Nothobranchius furzeri: one gene and its partner. The protein of the gene in region 2 purifies or fractionates together with the protein of the main gene of each other region. This does not show direct contact. Links are inferred from orthologs where the notes say so. Each region holds a gene or a part of one and is shown on either strand. Other genes may lie near its edges. The genes, in order: lrp5 and sost.

Region 1 (3,823 bases), on a different chromosome or scaffold from region 2:
AGCGTTGTCCAGAGCTAGCCCATTGGGCCAGCCCAGTGAGGTGTTGAGAAGGACCACCCTGTCGGTTCCATCCAGGTTTGCACGCTCGATCTTGGGATGCTCACCCCAGTCGGTCCAGTACATGTAACTGTGTGGATGATGAATCAAAAAGAAAGTAGAATTCTCAATTTTAGAGATTCTGTTAACCACAACTATCTATTAGTGATGCAAGTGAGCATTTTTTAATTATGAAACCATTAATTCCATTTCTACAAAAGGTAACGCCTGCACCTAGCAACAAGACACTAAAGCTCATCCCTGAAGGTCGCTCGAGTCTGAACTGTAATAAGTGTTTTTGAGTTTGGAAACTCAACCAAGCAGGATAAAAAACACATTCTCAGAAACATGTCAGAGTGACAGCTGTGGCATTGTATGTGTTCAAAGACACAGAAACCATACCCATTCACAGGATCCAGCACTATAGCTCTGGGCTCATCCAGGTTCTCAGAAATCAGAATCTTACGAGACGTTCCATTTAGCCTGGTGACCTATTACATAAGGTGACATCATTATGGTGAAAGTCAGTGCTTTTAGAGTTCAGACAAACACTTTTTTATACTATTCTAATGAACAGTGGCTCTTTTCTCTGTTCAGTTACTGACATGACAGTCTGTACCTCAATCCGATCAGTGCCAGTGTCTGTCCAGTACAGGTTTCTGGCCACCCAGTCAACAGCAATCCCATCTGGGTGTTTGAGTTCTGTGGAGACCAGCACCACGGCATTCCTTCCATCAATGTGGGAACGCCGGATAGCCTGAACTTCATCATCTGTCCAGTACACAAGACCTTCAACTGGGTCGTAGTCAATTGCAATGGCATGGCGGATGTCATTAACCTGTATGAGTAAAGGAACAGACTAGGTCAAGTTTAGACAGGAATAAAAATATTGTGTGTGTGTGTGTGTGTGTGTGTGTGTGTGTGTGTGTGTGTGTGTGTGTGTGTGTGTGTGTGTGTGAGTGTAAGCGTGTGTGTGTGTGTGTGTGTGTGTGTGTGTGTGTGTGTGTGTGTGTGTGTGTGTGTGTCGGTGCATGTGTGTGTGTGAGTGTGTGTACGCATGTGTGTGAGTGTGTGCGTGTGTGTGCGCGCGTATGTGTGTGTGTGTGTGTGTGTGTTTACCTCCAATAGTATGTCAGTGAAATCTGGCAAATCAAGTGAGATTCTCCTCAGGTCTGTCCGGCGAGCCAGCAACAAAACCTCCTCTGCCCCTAAAGCACACACAGACATTTTACCAGTGATAACACTTGTGTGGATCTTTAGGATGAACCATCAACATCCCTGGGATAGTAAAAACAGCATCATTGTTAGATGTCTCCCACCCCATGTACGAAGCTGATGTAGAGCCGGAGAGCTCCTTGAGAGGCTGACTGCAGCATCCTGAGTGCATGAAGGAGCGTTATCCTAGGTCCTTTCAGAAACCACAACCACCCCTGCTCCCAACAAATCCAGTAAATCATTCCTGCCTTTTTTGCCCACCTCTGTTGTTATTTTATTTGTGTCATGGTTCTCCCTGCTTTATCAGTAACGCCCCACCCCCACCCCCAAACGCACACACACACACACACACGCACACACACACACACGCACACACACCTGTGTCATGCCTGCATCTGCATCACCTGCACACCGCACTATTTATAGCTTCAGTTGCCGCCTCCCTGCAACATTCTTTTACTGATTTGATTCCAGTCTACTACCACATTTAAGCCCCGGGTTTTCCTGCTCTGCTAGGCCCTTGATGTATCTTTTCTGCCCATCTGATCTGTGGACTTCGGCCTTTGCTCTGCTTTCCCAGCTCCTGATTTATACCTCCCCTATGGAATTCCTGTTTATGACCCAGGTTGAATATAGATCACAGCTTTGGATTTTGGACTTTTTGGAACTTGTGTGTTTTGAGGGTATTTCAGTGTTTGTGACATCTGCAGTGAGGACTCATTCACACAGACTGAAGAGGAGTGCTAAACTGATCCTCTGCTGACCCGACGCTCCCTACAGAAGGGTTGCTCTGCACAGTGGAGCATCTCACTTTTCAGTTTTCTGTTTTAATAAAACACACTGCCTGGCCAAAACAGTTGCCACCCAAAAAAGGTCACACACACTAACATGTTATCTTTGATTGCGACACACATACTCTGTAGAGTTGTTTCAATAAGCTTCTGCAATGTCACCAGATTTATTTCCACCCAGCGTTGCATTAATGTTTCACCAACATCTTGCAAAGACTTCTCTAGCACATCCCAAAGATTCTCAATAGAGTTAAGGTCTGGTCCCTGTGGTGGCCGATCTATGGTGAGAAAAAAGTCTCAAAAGATGTGTGTGTGTCTCTCTAGATTTGTGTGTGTGTGTGTAACTCTTGATTTGTAACTTGTGTAGCGACATGAATGGCCTCATTTGTGACCCAAAGGTCAAACTTCCCCAGCTAAGTCGAGATGAAGGACACTTCAAGATTTAAAATGGGCTGATTGGCTGCACCTGGCGGTAAGGCGTTTCCTGTTTTCAGTGTTGCACTACGTGTAGCTGTTTGGTGTTTGGGGCTCGCTAAAACTGATTTAATTTCTCTGTACTAGGATATCTCTGAGTTATTGTAGCACATAAGCACGTTAAAACACACATTTTCTGTTGTTCCACCTAGCTTTTAGGGAACCATTTGAGTTTGCATGCAGTTTATTTGGTGTTGAACAGTTTGCTCGTCCAGTTAGCTTAGCCTCAGCACGGCTATGGCTACTTCTGTCTCTGCTTCTCCGTCTCCTATCTCTTGCTCTCTGTGTCAGATGATTAGTTACTCCTCTGCCTCCTTTAGCGATAATGGTAAGTGTAATAACTGTAGCATTTTTGTAGCTTTGGAGGCAAGGGTGTCGGAATTGGAGTCCCGGCTCCGCGCTGTTGAAAAACCCGTAAACAGCAGTAGCTACTTCGCTAGCGCGGGGCTGACTAGCTCAGAACCACCCCGTAGCGATCCTCCAGCAGAACCCGAACAGCCGGGACCTCAGGCCGGCTGGGTGACGGTATGCAGGAAGCATAGAACCCAGCCCGTGGGCCACCACCAACCCGTCCACGTTTCTAATAGATTTTCCCCGCTCAGTGACGCACCCACTGACAAGCCGACTCTGATCATTGGCAGCTCCATAGTCAGAAACGTGGCATTAGAGGCTCCAGCAACCATAGTTAAATGTTTACCTGGGGCCAGAGCGGGCGACATTAAATCTTATCTGAAACTGCTGGCTAAGGATAAGTGTAAATACAGTAAGATTGTTATTCACGCTGGCGGTAACGACACCCGGTTACGCCAATCGGAGGTCACTAAAATTAATGTTGCTTCGGTGTGCAAGTTTGCCAAAACAATGTTGGACTCCGTAATTTTCTCTGGCCCCCTGCCTGATCGGACCAGTGACAACATGTTTAGCCGCATGCTGTCCTTCAACCGCTGGTTGTCTAGGTGGTGTCCTGAAAACAACGTGGGCTACATTGATAATTGGAAAACTTTTTGGGGAAAACCTGGTCTGATGCGGAGAGACGGCATCCATCCCTCTTTGAATGGTGCAGCTCTTCTTTCTAGGAACATGGCCAGTTTTATTAGTCCTCCATGACTACCCAGGGTCCAGACCAGGAAGCAGAGTCGTAGTTTAACACACCCCTCTGCAGCTTCTGTACTGTTACCCACCCACTACCCCATAGAGACGGTGTCCTGCCCACGACCAAAATCACACAGATTAAATATCAGGCTTAATAAAGCAAATCATGGAAATCTCATAAATATTAGAACAAATTCAACTGAGCAGAAAACTAG
Region 2 (4,334 bases):
TATACAAAATACCTTCTAACCCCCCTGAAAGATTTTAATTAAACCAAAAATTCTTTAATTTAGAAATACATTTTTTAAGTCAGCCTGATTCAGTGGAAGTCCTTGGCTAACATCCATCCATCCATTTTCAGCCGCTTATCCGGGCTCGGGTCGCAGGGGCAGCAGTCCAGGGAGGCCCGGACTTCCCTCTCCCCAGCCACTTGGACCAGCTCCTGTGGGGAATTCTAAAGTGGTCAGCTGAGAGACAAAGTTCCTCCAATGTGTCCTGGGTCTTCCCTGAGGCCTTCCCCCAGTTGGAGGTGCCCGGAAAACCTCACTAGGGAGGTGTCCAGGAGGCATCCTAACTAGATGCTCCTGTCAATGTGGAGGAGTAGTGTGTCTACTCCGAAACCCTCCCAGATGAGTTTCTCACCTTGTCTCTAAGGGAGAGCCCAGCCACCCTGCAGAAAAAACTCATTTTGGCCGCTTGTATCCGTGATCTCGTTCTTTAGGTCACTACCCAAAGCTAAACTCAGTTTTTAACATTTTTTTCAACAACACAATACTTTGACATGACACATGACAGCGCAGCACACTAAAACAGTTAATCATTTACATCAAAGCAGGATCTTCACCTGCAGATTTCTAACTGGACGTGTACATTCAGTTTCATCCTAATTTTAAATGACCAAACGCAGAAGCTACTCTAGTCTAAGATGTCTGAAACTCACACCAAGACAAGAGTGAAAAATCTTTAGAAGGCATTCTTATCGGACAGTTTGCACCTGAGGAATAACACCTACGTATGACTTGCACAGGGACTATGGTCACTCTGAGAGTAAAGAGAGTTCCAAAGGAAGAAGACAAACCACGGGTTATGGCTTTATGAAGCATATCAAGCAGCAGTTATAGCTTACGTACAAGCTGCAGTGGAATCAGGTGTTCACCTTAAAGCTGATCTTTGGAAGATACATTTGCAGGCTTTATAAAATGTTGTACAATCAAGTGTTTGGTAGCTAGGAGTCATCCCATCACACATTCAGTTTAACAGTTTAAACACAACTTCTATTTTTATCTGTAAAAAACGGTTTTTGATCTTTTGAATGAAAGGAAGTGGGTGATATTCAGAATGCTGACTCATCCTTTCTTCATCTCCTCTGACCTTTAACCCACCTAAAAAAATATCTCCTCTCATCCCTATCCTTTCTCTTTTCTATTTTTACTCACTCAGATCCAAGCCCCCCCCCCCACCCCCCCACCCCACCCCCCTTTGCTCCCTCTCCTGCCTTTTCAATGAAAGCGGGCTCAACCCCTCCCACCTCTGACTGAGCGTTTAATTGCACGCTGCAGACGGCATCTTGCTTCAATAAGGCGCGCGCACTGGTAGTGGACGTAACCAACTTTTACGAGTGACCAAGTATCTCCTGTGTGAGTGAGTGTGAGTGAGTGTGAGTGTGTGTGTGTGTGTGCATGTGTGTATGTGTTTAAAGAATAAAGTCGCTCCTCTGGTTTGGTTTATTCGTGCCTGACCAGCATGCAGGTGTCTGTGGCCCTCCTGGTCTCCAGCTCGCTGCTGCTGCTGCTGCTGCTGCAGGGATGCTGCACGGCCGCGAAGGGATGGAAGGTTCTGAAAAACGGTGCCACGGAGATTTTACCGGACTATCGAGAAAACACCCGGACACCTCAACAGGCGGTTCTCCAGACCCCAAACGGAAACAACACGATGAATAACAACAGGGCGAAAGGCGGAGGGAGAAATTCCAACACTGTCTCTTACAGTAAGTGTCAGTTAATTGTCCATTCAATATTTAATTATACAACAAAAGGTGGAAAATGCTGGAAAAGTGCAGGATTATGATCAATTTGTGGAGCTGTGCGTAAAGCATTAAAAGTACTGCTGTTTCAAATTGCGTAAACGCATTTATAATAATAATAATAATAATAATAATAATAATAATAATAATAATAATAATAATAATAACAATAAAGTTCAGTCACTAAACTGATAAAAAATGCATTAATTTTAATAATTACCCCTTTTCCCAACACAATGACTCAATTTATGGTCCAAATATCTCATTTCAGCTCAGAAGACTGCAGGCTCTGTTGTTTTGAAAAGCAAAGACCTGAAAGAGATAATTATGTTGAATAAATCAGGGCTGCTTTGTGAATTTGTGTTCACAGTTCCACATTTCTGCCTGATTTTCACACCACTCTGCTGATTATCAGCCGCTCTGCTGCGTGGAGAGGGATGAGGGTGATGAGAGCGGCTCAGACTCACATTCTTGTGGTTTCTTCCTCAACATTCTGAACCCAAGCGCTCAGAAAGACATCAGGGCTTTTTGTACATTGTCTTCCAGGTTGTTTCCTTTTCTCTTTATGCTATTAGTCAAGCTCTACTTGCTTCGTAACCATTTGATTGCAACAGCATGTCTCCTAAACAGAAAACCCCCTAGTCTGCTCTTCAGCATGGATGTCTATGGGAAGGTGGGGGCTAGAAATAGCTTTTATAAATGCAACGCTGCCTTTGAGAATGATTCCCACCTGGGTTGTAGGTTCTGACTGAACAGCGCATGCAGGGCAGTCTCATGCTCGTGGACTCTGCATGGGTGGTGCAATGGCTTTTGCTTATTTGAGGCCTTTTGATTTGGACTTTAGAGAAGGTGACTGATTAGATTAAAGGAACAGCTGATAAGGGAATTAATGGGCTTAATGTCAGTTATTCTGAAGGATTCTTATCCAAGGATGTGTAATGAGATGCAGATGTGTAAATCTAAAGAATAGTATTCAGATTATTTGTTAGTATCCAAAAGAGGGTTGCTTGTTTTTATAGTAAATACACAGAAAACGTCCCGGAGGGACAGATAATCCCTCCTGGGTCCGTTTTATCACTTGGGCTGAGTCCTGGGATGACCTCTCATGGTTCTGTTTGGGGTTACAGCTGAGACTTTGACCAATTCCTGGCTTTCCTCCAAATCTCCCCAAAGGCTTTTCTCTAAGTCCAGATGGAAATGAACAAGTCACGCAATTGTCCAGCAGGATATCATTCCTCTTAGATAGGAGAACGGGAACTGTCAGTGACTCGATGCAACCTGCTGGGTTCCTTATTTAGGAAACTTTTTACTGATTAGCTTAATGAACTGACCTGTATTGGAATGTTTACTGTGTGAAGAGCCTTGAGACGACTAGTTGTGATTTGGCGCTATAAACTTGAATATACTTGAATTAAATTGAACTGTAGTAGAAAAAAATGAAACACACATCCAACAAAAAAAGCTAACAGTTTTGGATATTTGGTGCAAACCGCTGCAAACTGGGTGCTGTAGGTGGTATAAACAATGTGGACTCTTCAGCAGCAGCACCAGAATAACACCGGGTCAGGTTCTCCCAGTGAGAAAAAAAGGAGAGAAGTCATCCACATAAATCCTTTGTTCAGTTCTTTTATTTAACCTAGAAAGCCACAGAGGGAAACAGATCCCTCTCCGAGTGTATCGCTTCTACACCAACGGCTCTTCTCGTCTTGTAAAAAACACGTGAGAGTAACTCATGCATGTGGCTCTTAAAAAGCTCCATCTTATTACAAACAGCGTTCTTCAAACTTGTCCAGTTGCAGCGCTGCCTTAAAACAACCAGACAGCTATTTACTCCTCCACCACCACATGCGTTTCCTGAGGGTCGGGACTGAGTGCCAGCTTTTCCTCCATCCCAGACCCACATTGGGTTGGATTGAGCTGTTTAATGGCCTTCTGGTCTGGATTTTCTATCAGCTTATTGTTGCCAGCTGTTTTGTGTGTGTGTGTGTGTGTGTGTGTGTGTGTTGTCAGCCAACGATCGGACCATGAGTCAGGTCTGCTCTGATATTATTACCTTAAACCTCCACTTAATTGAACAATTTGCTGTTTTTTTGATGAATTTATTGATGGATTTTTATGTTTTATACTGGTTGGACATAAATTCAGCTTCCAGCTTGGATTTTTTCCCTTATTTCCACACTAATATGATGACGTGAGAGAAATCACTGGAAAGAAGGAGCAGCTGCTGCAGCGAAGTGGTTAAAACTGTAGAATCCTCCACAGTGTTTGTTTTGGGTTTGGTCCACGTGTGCTGACTGTGATATCCCGTTTTTCCACCCAGGTGCCTCGGAGATGAGCTGCAGGGAGCTGCGTTCCACCCGTTACATCACTGATGGATCCTGCCGCAGTGCCAAACCTGTCAGAGAGCTGGTCTGCTCTGGTCAGTGCCTCCCCAGCCACCTCATGCCCAACACCATCGTCCGTGGGAAGTGGTGGCGGAGCAGCGCTTCTGACTACCGCTGCATCCCGGCGCACTCACGGACGCGGAGGGTCCAGCTGCAG

Evidence for each region.
Region 1: the proteins of sost (region 2) and lrp5 purify together in Homo sapiens (affinity purification with mass spectrometry; 3 studies listed by BioGRID and IntAct, counting the BioPlex papers as one, with this or other methods). This does not show direct contact. The link is inferred for Nothobranchius furzeri from reciprocal best matches to the Homo sapiens genes SOST and LRP5.

Annotation. Positions count from the first base shown.
Region 1 is NC_091754.1:40,308,479-40,312,301, forward strand, and holds part of lrp5 (low-density lipoprotein receptor-related protein 5), read right to left. Parts: intron 1,245-3,823; coding exon 1,156-1,244; intron 875-1,155; coding exon 656-874; intron 528-655; coding exon 439-527; intron 128-438; coding exon 1-127. UniProt on the Homo sapiens protein: Acts as a coreceptor with members of the frizzled family of seven-transmembrane spanning receptors to transduce signal by Wnt proteins.
Region 2 is NC_091756.1:48,613,728-48,618,061, forward strand, and holds the start of sost (sclerostin), read left to right. Parts: upstream 1-1,361; 5' UTR 1,362-1,513; coding exon 1,514-1,757; intron 1,758-4,113; coding exon 4,114-4,334. UniProt on the Homo sapiens protein: Negative regulator of bone growth that acts through inhibition of Wnt signaling and bone formation.